Linked DNA regions of Diceros bicornis minor. The protein of the gene in region 1 interacts with the protein of each later gene in a biochemical or structural test. Links are inferred from orthologs where the notes say so. Each region holds a gene or a part of one and is shown in the gene's direction. Other genes may lie near its edges.

Region 1 (7,497 bases):
TGGGGATACAAAGATAATCTTTTAGCAAAAACAGTTTTATAAATGGTAGAACATTACATGGAAAGTTAGCTTTTCGAGATGGTTATCAAAAAGGATGTAACATTATCTTATCCTTTTAAGAATCCTGATTAATAAATTAGCAAATATTTGATGACCTAATATGAGCAGACACAGTGCTAGGCACTCAGAGAATTCCCAAATAACTCTATGTAGACCCTGTCCTCAAGGAGCTTCTGAGTGGGATGAGGGCATAAAATATATATAAATAACTCTAATTCAGGGAAGAATGTAATAAATGCATGAGAAATACCACTGGAGTTCAGAGAAGAGGAAATTCCCTTTGAATAAAGAATAAAGGAACGCATAATGGATGTGGTGGTGTTTGGGCTGGACCTTAAAAAAGGGTATGCTTTTCCCTGACATACACTAGACAGGATAGTCATGGGAAGAGAGGAAGGCCTGACTCCTGAGGAAGCTACCATCTGGGTCAATGGTGGAACCGAGAAGATGTATCCCGAAGGAATAAAAACCAAGAAAACAAAAGGCAGCAGAATCTGGGAAGAAGTGGGAGGAGGGAAGAAGCAGAGGTCCCTAGGAGGCTCTTACAACAGGTAAGGGAATGATGGGCTGAAGGAGGGTGATAGAAGTGGAAGGAAAAGGGAGAGATTGCATAGCTCGAATGCTGCAGAATATGGAAGGCAAGAGAAAGACAGCCCTCAAAGTCCTCTGGCAAACAAGCACTAGAAGAAAATTGGCAAGGTGCAGTATCCTTTCCCACCCCCATCACCAAGCCTGGAGGACGAATCTTACCAAGGAGGGGAAAGAGAATGCTGGAGAGAAAGTGTTTAAGAAAACTGCCCTTGTTGGACATCTTGGACTAACTTTCATCGTTAGCCTCATAATAATCAAAGTCTATGAAGAGATAGCTAGACATCGTATCCTTCCTACGTTCAAGGAGAATAGTTGCAGATTCCCCTTCCTTTCTCTTTCTCCCTTTCTTTCTTCTTCCTTCTTTATTTCTCTCCTTTTCCCATTCCTTCTCTTCCCTTCTCTCTCCTCCCTTCCTTGCACATTCTTGTTTTATTTTGGACTGGTCTACTGCATGGGTGGCCACCGCTGACGCAAAGGAGGAGTCAGGATTCACCATCGTCACCTACATACAAAGGGTAACTGGCTTACTTTTCAGTGTTTGACTTTATCGCTGATTGTAGAGAGGGTTCTTCTGTGCTCCAATATAGCAATATTTCAGGCCTTTCAAAGTACAAAATAAATTTTGGCATTATGACATCATTAACATTTTGTAATTTTTTTTTTCAAATAACTTTTTACTTCTTTCTTTACTTCAGAGTGGTCTGAAGAGCCACTCATAAATCTCTCGGTAACTGCATAGGGTCTCATGGCCAGAGACTGGCCACTCCTGGCATTGTGATTAGGGTCATTTAATACCCAAGGGAGTGACTAATGTTTGGCAGCAAAGGGTCCACTAGGTGTCACATGTCCTGAAACCCTAGGCGAGGGCACACTAGGAACACCTTATTATCGTGTGTTAGCATCATGGTCAAGAGAAAAGTTGAAGACCAGATGGATCCATGTGGGCATCATTGGGAAATGAGAGCCCCATCCCCATGATCAACGCTGGCACAACCAGAGAGCCTAAAATCAGTTTAAAACAAAGGCACCCACCTTTGTCTTATCTTCGTACCCCAGGCTTTTAATAACATATTTTTTCATATGTTTACAGAAAACAGTCAACTGAGCTATTCGTGGAAAGGTTTGTGGGTTTGGTTGATGAGGTGGAGGAATATTACATTTCAGCTGGAAACACATCCCTAGAATGCCAAAACATTTATTCCAAAGTCTGGTTTCCTGGTGCAATCGGAGGCATGGCAATAGTGTGTCTGTTCGGAGACCGGGAGCTTGGGCCAGCAAGGCATCTGATCCAAGCGTATCCCAGAAGGCCTTTATTGTTAAATTATATTCTTCAGGAGAAACCACCCATGTCACATTTTGTAAACTTGATAGCCATATACTTTTGACTGGCATTCTATTTTAGCCGTAAGCCTATGATTTACAGCAAGCCTGTTCTCCCTGTTGCTCAGGATGGCAGTGGAAAGCATGGGGCACTTTCAGGCTCCCAGGATAAGGAGCAAAGGATGCTGGAGTTTGCTTCTCCCCAATAATGCTGACTCTAGCTGTGCCACACTGCTCCCCATGAGCAGACAGCAAGCTTCTCCTCACTCTCCACTGCCATTCATCCAGCTCTGTGCAGCAGCCCAGCTGCTGTGTCTGCCGGGAGGGGCTGCCAAGTGCCCTGCCTACTGGCTGCTTCCCGAATCCCTGCCATTCCACACACAAACACATCCACACACGCTCTGCCTCGCTCACACACGGAGCCACCCGCACATGTGAGCACATTCCTTCCTCCCTTCTCACTGTCAAGCCCTTGACTTCTCCAAGCCCATGGAACATTTCTGGAAAGACGCTCTTGATCCAGCAGGGTAGGATTGTTTTGATTTCTCTCTTCGTAGCTTGAGCATTTTGAGAAAGCAACTTACCTTTCTGGCCAGTGTCTGTATCCTAGCAGGGAGATGAGGATTTGCTGTTTTCCATGGGTTTATGTGTGCGTCTCCTTTTTCTTTCAAGACTTGTAGGATTCTTTGTGCAATTTCTATATAATTTGGCAGGTTCAGATTTTTAAGAGCCCTATGAAGTGCTTTTGCATGTGTTTAAAAAAGACATCTGAAAATTGGAAGTGTAATTTACGAAAACGAAATCATCTGTAAAAAAATTGCTTTGGAAAGTAATGGTTGCTGGCCATAAAGAGAAATATCTGTGATTCACCTAATGTGTTTTTAACCCTTTCTTTGCTTACAATGGATAGTTATTGATGCTAAGCTCAATTTTAGCTTCATAATAAATCAGCTACATCTGCATATTGTCCCCCAATAGTCTGTCTGTTCTTGTAAGAATTAGGTAAAATGTGTACTTATTAGTATTAAAATATCCAAAAATATTGCCATTAGTAACAGCAACCTTGGCATCCTTATATGCCATGAAGATTTGTCAGGTACTCTGTTGGGTGTTTCGGATAGCAATTACAGCAAAGTATTAACGGTTGTATCTGATGGTCATATCAGAGTCTATTAGGCTGGGGCAAAGGAAGTTTATTAAAAAGTATAAACTATCCAAGAATATGGGTGCACAGTATATTTACCTTATGTTTTTGTTTATATATGTGTGTGTGTGTATGCTTACCTTTTAATTCAGTTCAAAACTTTTTTCTATTCCTTTTTATCTGGATATTTGATTCTGCATATCCTAGCCAAAGTGAACCGAGAAGGTCCAGTTGTAGAATTAAAGAACAGAAATGTACCATTGCATTTTAAAATTTCTTGGTTCGACCAACAGTGTAACATAATTGCCAAGAATTTGGTTAATGACCTGAGGTTACGCCTTATATGAAAAGGTCACATTTCATATTCAGTTTTCTGAAGTTTTGGTTGCATAACCTGTGGAAGGCACGAACCCCGTGTGCTCCTAACCAAAGGTTTTTGTGAATCATCATTCACATGAGAATTCCTAATGGGAGGAAGTACAGTGCTGTGGTCCAACACAAACATACAAGTCCGACTGGGAGAATCTCAGAAGGTCCTGGCTAGAATGGACCACTTTGGAAGAATTTTGCGGATAAGGAAACTGAGGTCCGTCAGCATTCTCCAGATTGCAAAATGCAGCTCTTCCTATATGTACACCTTAAATCTCCACCCGCTTCTCCCTAGATGCCTTCTGTCAGTCCCTGCAGCTGCTAAATATAGCTGTCTGTGGCTGGCTGCATATGCAACCGTACACCCTATTCTATCTGCCATATCTCAGTTACAGAGTGGTCCTCCCCAGGGTCATTCTATGTACACACTACATATTTCCAGCCAACAAGGAGAGTGAATCAAACAGAGAGAGAGACAAACAGAGATAGATTGGAGTCTGGCACGGGGCACATAAGGCAGCACGTTAGAGAAAGCCGGCCCCTGAATTAGTCTTCCGAGTATGTTTTAAACCCCATCTTCCCTGGGCCACCTTTAGGAGATTGCTCGGCGCCCCCGCCCTCCTGCACTGAAGTTCAGCCTCCATCCAGCAGCGACAAGTAAAGTAAAGTTCAGGGAAGCTGCTCTTTGGGATCGCTCCAAAACAAGTTGCGCCCGGAGTGATGTTTAAGCCAATGTCAGGGCAAGGCAACAGCCGCTGGCCGCCTTCCAGCACCTTTGCGATGCATATGAGCTCGGGAGACCGGTACTTAAAGTTGGAGACCCGAGCCCGGGAGTTGGCGGAGCGCGCTCGCGCGGGGCTGCACTTGCTCGCGTCCGGCCGCGGGCTCCACGGGACGGGCCGGCTCCCGGGGCAGGGCCAGAGCCGGTGTCGCGGCGGGACATGCGCTGCGCCGCCTCTAACCGCGGGCTGTGCTCTTCTTCCAGGTGGCCGGCCGGCTGCTGAGCCCTCCGCCGCGCGGGGAGACGGTATGCGCCTTGCCCGCGGCCACTGGCCATGACCATGACCCTCCACACCAAAGCATCCGGAATGGCCCTGCTCCACCAGATCCAAGGGAACGAGCTGGAGGCCCTGAACCGCCCGCAGCTCAAGATCCCCCTGGAGCGGCCCCTGGGCGAGGTGTACGTGGAGAGCAGCAAGCCCCCCGTGTACGACTACCCCGAGAGCGCCGCGTATGACTTCAACGCCGCGGCCGCCGCCTCCGCGTCCGTCTACGGCCAGTCCGGCCTCGCCTACGGCCCGGGGTCCGAGGCGGCGGCGTTCGGCGCCAACGGCCTGGGGGGCTTCCCGCCGCTCAACAGCGTGTCTCCGAGCCCGCTGATGCTGCTGCACCCGCCGCCGCAGCTCTCGCCCTACCTGCACCCCCAAGGCCAGCAGGTGCCCTATTACCTGGAGGACGAGCCGAGCGGCTATGCCCTGCGCGAGGCCGGCGCTCCGGCGTTCTACAGGTACCCGCGCCCCCCGCCGCGCCACGTCGGGGTGGCCGCCGCGCGCCCGGCGGGCGGGAGGGAGCGGGGAGCGGGGCCCGCGCCGCCCCAGCTCGCCGGAGGCCGCAGGCCGCGGGGCCCCGGGCGCAGGAGCCGCGGGACGCGCCACCCCAGTGCCCGCGCGCGGCCGGCCCGGGAGCGATTTGCGGATCTCGCCTTCCGAGCGTCAAGTTCTCTCCCCGGGCGGCTTAAAAAGATTCTCTTCTTCACCCGCTGCCGTCTGCGTGACAGGCAGATCCGAAACCCTGTGCGCTTCCTGACTAAGCAGATGTTGGAAAGCCGTACAGAGCAGCAGTTATTTGCGGGGGAAACACCCCAAAGCAAATAAACACGGGGCTCTCTGAGTCCCTCGTAAATGTCCAGCTGTGGTATTTCGGGCTAGAGGTGTTTGGGGTTCGCGGACGTCAGAGTTTCATTTGTTGTTAGTATTTTAAAATTTTCTTTTAATGTGCTTGCAAAATTACCTTTCATCTAGAATTTCGGATTGGAAACATGCCCACTATGGTGGTGATGATGATGATGATGATTTTTGGGGGAAGAGATTTGTAGCACCTGCTTTCCCTCCTCCCATCGCACGCTCCAGGGCTTTAGGACTGAACTGCGCTCCTCAGGAGAGCAATACAGGGGTTGAATGGGTCTTAACAAGTTTCTGATTTCCCAGTTATCTGGCTGGGTCCGTGTTGAAGCAAATTGCTGGCATATGACTTCTGACAGCCGGGAATTTATAGGTGTCCTGTGAGTTTAAAACATGCCATATCGAAACACGAAGGTTTTGGAATACTCTCCTGCCAGCTAAGTTCCCTTTCTGGCCTACCGGGCAGAGAATGCCCCTGGTGCGGGTGCCGGGTCAGCTCGGTTCTTCACCTTTCAGTCGCTCTGGAAGAAGCGTTGGCAGTCCAGGACACAGGGGACACTTCTGTGACTTCCCTGTGACTTGTGTCCTTATTTTTTTTTTTTCTAGTAGACGTTATATTTTCCTCCTCCTTGCTCCTCTCCTTTCTCCCTTTTCTTGTTGATGGACCTGGGAAGGGTGTGTATTTCTGAATACCTGTGCCCTAGGCGCCCGCTGGACCAGATACCCTGAAGTGTGTTTGGGAGGCTCCAGGGCGCACACGTGGCTGGGCGCTGAGTTAGGCACTGCCTGACGGTACATTGGTGTCTGGACTTGCCTCCTGCCCTCGCCCAGATCCTTCTGCATTGCCAGCTGTGGACCGTTTTCTGTTTAGTATTCTATTTCCAGGGATATTTATAGCAGAAGAAACAGGAGGAAGGTGCAGATTGGCCTCAGAGAATACTGAAGGGCAGACTCTTGGGGTATCTGAACATACTTATATCCCTCAGCCTCCTCAAAGGACTTAAAAGCATCCCACAGCTAAGCAGGTCCAGCCTGAGTTATTATTTAAAAGACAAGCGATGAACAAAACTTTAAAAAGTTGGCATATTTCAAATTAATTTCACTTGTTTTAATTCAGGGTTAAAATGGAAAGAGAAAAAGAATTTATTCTGCCCCTCCCTTTAAAAAGTGTTAGAACAAAATATAACGATTAAGTCTAATTCACACAACATTTTAAACTCCTTGATGTGAAGAAAGGCACTGGTGTGAGATGAATTCCATAACCTTATGGTGGACTCCGGAAACTATTTTCTTTTCCATTTAATTTTCAGTTCTTTTATTGCAAATTAATGCCACTGAAATTCAATGGGCACTAATGAGACTGCTCCTTGGTAGATTATTTACTGCCTTGCTAATAATTACGAAGTGAACACGGTCAAATGAAGAGGGGATCACATTTTATTCAAAATTGTTCATCATCCCATAGCAGATAATATAACTATAATATGCCCCATCTTAAACTTTTTGCATTTGATGATATTCAAATACTTCTAGAATAATAAAAGAAATGACACAGAACTTTTAAAAATAAAGTAAAAAACTCACGCAAATGGGATTCTGTGTGGAAATTCAGTTTTAGAATGATTTTTCCTTTGTAGTTTACTTCCCGTAGCATCCTTCCTTTTTTGTTTGAATTCTGCCTCTTATTACCCAGGGAGGAAGTGAAGGGTCTATGCAAGTGTGGTTTCAAATGGTCATATGTTATTTAATATTTTTTCCCTGTCACTTTTCCTGTTTGAATAACTCTGGGTAAAAAAGAAAAGAATTGATTAGACTGTTTAAAGAACATTTAACTTTCTTCAGTAGTTATAAAAAGTTTTAGGGGCCGAAAGCAGTGTTTTCAAACTGCTTGTCATGACCTAGAGTATCATGAAAATGAGTTTAATGAGTCTAGAACTTTGTGTTGTTAAGGAAGAAAATAGAAAAGAATATAAGAGAATATACTAGAGGGCATAATATTTAGTAAGGGTGGGTTTTGTTTCCTGAAAATTTGTTTTAATTATACATACTTGTGTGTGCTGACTGTGATATAAAATATATTTCATACTGTGGGTTGAGGTCAAAGAAATTTGT
Region 2 (7,414 bases), on another chromosome or scaffold:
TCACTTATGTTCATATTTCATTGGCTAGAACTAGTCACACGACCCTGTCTAAACTGCAGAGGGTGCTGGGAAATGTAGGAGGGCACAGAGAAAAACGGGTGAGCATTCCTGTCTTGGTCACATGTGACAAAACTACTGAAAACAAAGGAAAGTCCAACATAAAATTCAAGATACTGTCTACTTCGGGGTGGGGGAGGAAGGGATCAGGATAGTAGAGGAACTCACCGGAAGGTGTCGGTGATTTGTAATGTTCCAGTTTTTGGGTTGAGCAGTGAATGTTAATTATATACATATATATATATATATATATATATTTTAATGCATGAATGAGTGAACAGACAAATGAATAAATAAGAGAGAGGGCTCAGATGCAGCGGCACTAAAGCCTAACCTCAGAGTGCAAGTCAAAAATGGCCCTTCCATAAATATTGATTGAACTCCGGCTGAGGCTGCTAGGCCTTGAAGGTACAAAGATGAATAAAATATGGCTTATCCCCACCAGTTCCCAGCTCAGAGGATGCCACAGGCATGTAAACCCAGCAGGCCAGCGAAGCACAGTGAGTGGATTACTCACCAGGAGCTCTGGGAGCCAGAGGGAGCCCTGAGAAGGCCTCCCCACAAGGGGTCACGTAGGTTGGGTCATGAAGGATCAATAGGAGTTCAACACGTGAAGAAAGGAGTAGAGATGAGGTAGGTTGGTAAGAAACACTGATTCCAAGAAGAGTGAACAATATGTGCAAAGGTACAGAGAGCCCTTCACTCCTCAGGTGGCCTGTGTTCACAGCATTTCCTCACCACCTTCTAGTCCCTAAATGATCTGATCAACTCATTCACTCTGTGCTGTGCCACCCAGAAGCCTCTGCAGGAGCCAGGCACTCGTTCTCCCCACTGGCTGTTGCGAGTGTTGGCACTGATGCTTCAGCTGAGCCCTTCTTTAGGAATCAGCCTCAGATAAAGGAGCTCTCTTGCCCAAGTTCATGCACCCCTCTGCTCCAGGGACAGCCACATCCAAAAGACTGGTTGAAGCAGGGGTACAAAAGCCCAACCCCCTTGCTTCCATTCAGGGAACTCCTAGCTCAAGAGCTCCCTGTGGGCTCAACAGAGGCCTCTCTGGGGCCTCCAGCCTCCATCTCGGCCCAACTCCTCTCTCTGCCCAATCCTGTTTCCTTTATGGTCCCACAGATGCTGATTGCAAATGCAGTCCCAAGAAACCTCCTTCAAGCAAGTCTCTACTGCAGAGTGTGTTTTCTGGGAAACCTACCTAAGATACCCCAAAGTATAAATGATTACTCAATTCCAAGGGATGCCTTCCCCAGGGACATTTGTAGAGCAATAATAATAACTAGTATTCATGGAGTGATTTCTATGTGCCAGGCACTATGCTAAGCACTTTGCCTACATGATCTTATCTGATGAAGCAAGAATTCATGCCAAAGGAATGAATTTCTAACGGTGAAATTTCAGGCTTAGGCAAGGTGAAATTTCTAGCTTAGGGAGGCTAGAAGTGTTTATGTGGCACAAATTCTGTTACAAATTTCTCTGCCTAACTCTGTGGTCAGTCCTGATCTTTGTACTGGCTGGGTAAAGCCTCCAGAAGGTCAGGGTGGGGGTTCCCAATCTCCTTCTTCCTCAAAAAAAAAAAAAAAAGAAGTAAGCAAGGCTTCTTCTGCTCAGTAGTATAATAATATCTCTGTTCTCCCTCTTTTCTGGGGTCTCACTTCTTAGAAGGCCTGTGTGGAGGTAAATTCCTCTGAAAGCTGGCTGCCCGTTTGGGACTCCCCGGGCCTTTTCTGAGAAATGGTGACATTGTTCCCAGAACTTCCTCTCCCTTCCTGGGTACTCCTGCAGACACCTCTGAGCCCTCCTCACATCCTCCTTCTTCAGGCTCCAGCTTTCCACCTTTCCTTTCCGTCATCACCTGCCTCCTGGGTGGGGGCTGATCTGGACCCTCTCGCCCCCAGGCTGAGCCTCGCTCCGTCCCTAAGCTGCTTGCTTCCTGGGGAGCATGCCTGGGGAGCATGCCTGGGCAGCAGGCTGTGGTCCTGACTGGCTCTCTGGCCCTCAAGAACATGTCTCAACATGCTGAGCCCTGACATAGAAGAGGCCAGTGGCTGTTTTGTCCCTGGGGCTGCCTGCTTTGGGGGGAGAGGAGGGTGGTAGCAGACAGAAGACGCCCAGAGACCCCTGTGAGAGCTTGGTCTGAATTTCTCTGAACGGAATATGTGGTTTGCAGCAGATCCCTTGAGATTGGCCTGGGACCTGTTCTGTGCACACGTGTGTGTGTGTGTGTGTGTGTGTGTGTGTGTGTGTTTGGGGAGTGTGACTTCTAACAACCTTCTCCTTTGCTCTCTTCAGAGCGGAAGTCCTCCTTAAGGGCATGCCTAGCTACACGTTCAGGTGTAGGGTTGGACACTTTCTTTTGAGTACTGAAGCACTAGACACTTAGTAGGTGCCTAATAAATATTTGTTGAATTCTGTTGTGGTGGTGGTGTTGAGCTAGAAGTTATTAAAAAAAAAAAAAACCTCACTTCCCAACAACAACAACAAAAAGAATTATTTCATTGTGAAGCTCAGGACCACAAAACTTTAAGTAATTCAATACAAGCCTTCATTAAAAAATTTTTTTCCCCAGAGTAAACAGGCAGACAATGTCAAGTCTATTTGAAATGCCTGAGAGCCAAGGGGATTTAAGGCAGGAGGAGATGCTTGTCCCCTGCTGGACATTTGACAACCTAGGCTTCGGGTGGTGTGGGTGTGTGTGTTGGGGGTGTGGAGAAAGGAGCTGGGGAGCAGGGGGCTGGTCCTGGGGTCCTGGCCTGTTTGAGGCCCTCCTGAGGTCCGGCTACAACCCTGGCCTGACTCCAATACCAGGCAGGCCAGAGGGTCAGGTGCCACGCCCTCCCGCCCCTACCCTGGCTCCATCCCAGCAGTGAAGGAGGAGGCCTGTCCTCCCTGAGGTCAGCTGCATTAGAGGAAGAAAACTGGGCATGTCCGGGCAGAGATTTCCAGACGCCGAACAGCCCTAGGTGTCAGCAACTGCAGCTGCTCCAAGCGTGGATTCTATTTTTTAGTGGGAATTCTGTTCAGATTAACACTCTGTTCTCTGCAATTTTTTTAAAAGCAGAAACTGCAAATGTTTTAGGTGAAGGAAGGAGGCAAAGGTGAGGTGCAAGCAGGGCTGGGGGGTGCGGAGGTAGGAAGGAGCAGATGGGCACCTCACCTGCTTCTGTATCGGTCAAGAGTGCCAGTGGACATTTCCAGAACTGTCCTTCCTCAATGTCACCTCAGTAAGCTGCCTGGAAATGAGGGGTGCTGGTGTCTCCCCATTCTCGTGTTTCTAGAGCCACTGAAATAGAGGGGGCAACAGGCAGAGAGCTCTGGGTGAGACGCAAAAGGCCTATGTTCCAACCACAGCCATTTATTTGCTGTGTGACCTGAGCCAGGTCAATGAACTTCTCTGAGCCTCAGTTTACCCAGCAGTGAATGTGGGCTGTGTGAGGAATATCCAGGAGACAACTCACCAAATCCTTCTGCCCTTCCTGCCATCAAATCAGCTGCAGTCACAGAGGTTTCTTCTGTTGAGGTGAGAGAGAGGTGGGTGTGGGGAGCAGGAGGGGGTGGGGAGCTTAGTTCAATGTCAGATTTCCCCTGGAGAGACGTGGGCCCTTTCTGGGAAGTGTCTCCAATTCCCTCCTTCCCCGAGGCATTTGATGAGCAACAGCTTTGCATCCCTTTAGTTCTGTGGGCCTCAGTTTCTTCGTTTGTGAAATAAAGGGGATTGAATTCCGTTCTGGCCTCCCAGAGGCTCTGTTGGGGTGTCTGGGTGCCCCAGGTGCTCGGGGAGAGGCGGTGTAGTGAGGGATCCGCGGGAACAGCGCTGGTAGAGTGGGGCTTTTCTGGGGAGTGCAAAGTGAGACGCATCATTTTTATTATTTAAGGACTTTCATTTATTAACGTCACCCCTGGTCTTTTCAGCTGCTTTCGGTAAATCCTCGCCCAGAGTCGGCCCGCAGTGGGCCAGAAAGGGGCTCATCCTAACAACGCCATCCCCTTCTGGGGAGCGCCAACTCTCTCCCCAGCTAAAAATACCCAGATTTGTGGCTCAATTCGTGGGGAAATGTGTCAAGCGCACAACCCAGGCCGGGGGTGCGGGGAAGGGAGCGCGCTCGGGCAGCACGCGACGTCGGCCTCGGAGCTCCGCGGAGCTGGAGCGCGGCCAGGCCCGGGGAGCAGCCGCGGGTCCCGGGAGGCGGTCCAGGCGCGCTGGGGGTGGAGCCAGCGGTCCCGCCTCCAGGGCCGAGCCTTTTTACATGGGCTGCGCCCGGCGGCGCCAGCGGAGGTGTGAGCAGCTGCCCCGGTCGGTAGCTCGGAGACCCGGAGCCGGGCGCGGATTCACGGAGACCCCGAGACCCTCGGAGGAGGTGAGGGAGCCACGGCGGGCAAGAGCGGACCCAGGAGGCGGCTTGAGCTGAGCTGAGCGTGTCCGTGTGTGTATCCCTGCATGTCCGTGTGTTGTGTCCGCGGGGACGTGTGTATCCGGGGGTGTGTGCTGTGTTCACAAGTGAATGACGTGAGTGGGTCTGCGCGTGGGTCTCGGCGTTGCGCACACGGGTGTCTGTAAGCGCGCGTGTGACGGGGGTCGGGATGTGTTGGGGAGGGAGCACAGTATGAAGGTCCCCTGCCACGCTGCCGTCCCCTTGAAACACAGCTGGGGCGGGGGAAGGTGTGGACCCGCCGCCCCAGGAGCTCTCCGCCCGGCGGGTGCGCCCCGGGCCCCCCGCGCGGCTCGCTCGCGGCGTAAGGATGCACCCCTGTCCGCCGAGGGGCCCGGGAGGGGCGGGGAGCGCCGACCCGAGCAGGTTCCTCTGGGATCCGCTCCCGGGCGGCTCTCGGATCTGATCGGTGCCGCCCCGGCCCGAACCCCTGAGGTCTGGGTCCTCGACGCCGCCGTGTCCGCCACCCGGTGGCGCTGAGGTCAGCGCGAGCTGTGTCCCTGGCCCATGGGAACGTGTCAGGACACGTCCCTTAAGGGCAAGCGAGAGGGTGACTCACGGTGACAAGGAGACCCCGGGGAACGGGCCGAGTGAGATCAGAACCCCGCCCGGGCTGGGGGACAGTGGCGACGCAGAAGTCTCCTTCCCTACCCCTCCTCGGTTTGTCCCCCCCATAAACACAGTGACCTATTTGGCTGGCACAGAGTGTTCCCAGGGAAGCCCAGACACCGGGAGATCCAGGACCGGGTGTCCGGTCCCCGCCCCACGGCGCACTCTCGGGGACCCGGAGCCGCGGCCCCGCGCTGAGTGGGCTGGCGCACGCGGGTCAGTTCGGGAGGCGCAGGAGTCCTCCCCACCTCGCTCCCGCCGCCTGGAGCCCCCGGCCCAGCCTGCCCTTGGGGCGCGCCGATGGGCTCGGGGCGGGAGCGGTGTTCTGCGGCGCTGCGGGCCGCGCAGCCCCCGCCGGGGTGGGGTCGCGTCTTTGAGGGGTGGGGCTTCAGGGGGCGCGACGCTGCTCAGGGCCTCTGTCGCCTGCATCCGGGGGCCCGGGCGCCCCCAACCTAGTGGAGAATTCCCTCTCCGAGGGAGACTGGACTGGGCGGAGCAGGGGGGCGAGTGGTCCTTGGGACACAGCTGCCCAGCGCGGACCACAGCGCGTCCGCCCTGTCCCGGGCCCTCGGGGGACCCTTGCGCCCTCCTCGCGCGGAAAAGAATCTTGGAACTGGGTTTGGCGCTTTAGGGCGCCCGGGCGGCTCCCTCCCTCCGTCCCTCCCTCCACGTCGCGTTTCGGGGAGGCCTTTCGAGCGGTTTTGTTTTCCTTACTCCGGTCTATTTTTATTTTCCAGGGATCTGACTCATCCCGTGCTTTGGGTGTGGAGATAAGGTGGAGTGCGTGCGGTGTGTGTGCGCGCGTGTGTGCGTGTCACAGAGACGGCGCGAGAGCGCGCGGTTTCCTAACAGTGGCGGGGGTTTCGGAAGCCTGGCTGCCTCAGCGTGACGTGTTCGCGGCCCCTGGCCCCCTCCCGCTCTCCCCCTCCCCACCCGGGGTGACGCGCAGCCGGAGTGGAAGTGCAGTTTTGGCGGGCGGGGAGCGCCTTGCAGGAAACTGACTCATCACGACTCCCGGCCCCTGTCCCGGGCTCGGCCCACACCCCTCCCACCCTGCGCGTGATTTCCTGGGGGCCAGCGCCCCCTCGCGGCCCCGGCGCGAGTAGCAAACGCGCCTTCCCGCGGAGCGCGGCTTCGCCCGCCTCTCCTTCCCGCCGCTGCCCCTGGGCTGATCCCCGCACCCCCAACGCCGCTTAAAAAGAGCACCCCATTGGTTCAACAGTGTTTACCGAGTGCTCACTATTTACTTGGGGATTAAAATATGGTTGAAGTCTAAGGCACAAAGACCTACAAAGGAAGCTATTCTCAGTTACGTGTTTGTAAAACTAAGAGTGCCCGCTGAGCTGGGAGTTATGATAATGGGCGGCAGAGCAGATTTTGATGGGGAGCCTATGAGAGCCATAAGGGAAGAGGTGGTGGCAGCAGAGAGGGCCCCTGCCTGGACTCTGGTTCCATCTTCAGCTCCTAGAAGCCAGGGAATATCCAGCTCCCGGATAAAGACCCAAGCAGGCTTCTCCTGGTACCAATGGGGCACTGAGACCCAGAGTGTCCATTTCAGCCATCCTGTGTGTCCTCTCTTGGCGGGCACCCCAAGAGTGCCCATCTGGGCAACCGCCAAACACTTGTTTAAGTCTCCTCCTATTTGAGTTAAGTTGGTCTAGGGAGGGAGGGGCCTATCAATCTATATTTTGAAAAAGCTTCCCAAGTGGTTCTGCTGGGCCTCTCTGGTTAAGAAACCTCAAAATTAGGGAGGAAGTAGGGCTCAACACCAGAGCACAGAGCCCAGGGCAAGTAGGCCTGGCTTCAAATCCTGGCCGTGCCACTTGTGAGCTGTGTGACCTTGGGCAAGTTACTTAACTTCTCTGAGCCTTGGTTACCTCTTCTGTGAAAAAGAGCTAGTATACTCACTTTTTGGGAAAATTAATATTTGTAAACTTCTTAGAACAGCCCTTGGCACATAAAAATACATAAAAGAATACCAACCCTTGCCCTGAAGAGAGTGGGCAAAGGTTATTTTAGGGCACTGCCCCCTGTACTGTGTAACCCATCTATGGAGCAGTGGCCCTCGGCCTTTTTAGCTGTGTGGTGTGGGGACAAGTCTCATATCTGTTCGAACTCCTGCCCTTTAAAGTTGGTCTAAGTTCGCCTAGTGCCTCCCCTCCCCGTCAGCTGAGATGGTGGGCTCCACTCAGTGTGAGAGGTGGAGTGGGGAGGGGTAGATGTGGCACGGGGCCAGGGCTTCCTGCCCCAGGAGGTCACTCAGCAGAGCTTTCGCCCTCAGAGCCTGCAAATCAGGACTTGTCCCCAGGAAA

The links. The genes of interacting proteins can lie anywhere in the genome.
Region 2: the proteins of ESR1 (region 1) and CDKN1A form a complex in vitro, tested with the Homo sapiens proteins (2 studies listed by BioGRID). The link is inferred for Diceros bicornis minor from reciprocal best matches to the Homo sapiens genes ESR1 and CDKN1A.

What each region holds. Positions count from the first base shown.
Region 1 is NC_080778.1:16,963,448-16,970,944, reverse strand, and holds the start of ESR1 (estrogen receptor), read left to right. Parts: upstream 1-4,480; 5' UTR 4,481-4,539; coding exon 4,540-4,991; intron 4,992-7,497.
Region 2 is NC_080753.1:28,264,913-28,272,326, reverse strand, and holds the start of CDKN1A (cyclin-dependent kinase inhibitor 1), read left to right. Parts: upstream 1-4,327; 5' UTR 4,328-4,421; exon of another isoform or gene 4,422-4,487; intron 4,488-7,414. UniProt on the Homo sapiens protein: Plays an important role in controlling cell cycle progression and DNA damage-induced G2 arrest. Involved in p53/TP53 mediated inhibition of cellular proliferation in response to DNA damage.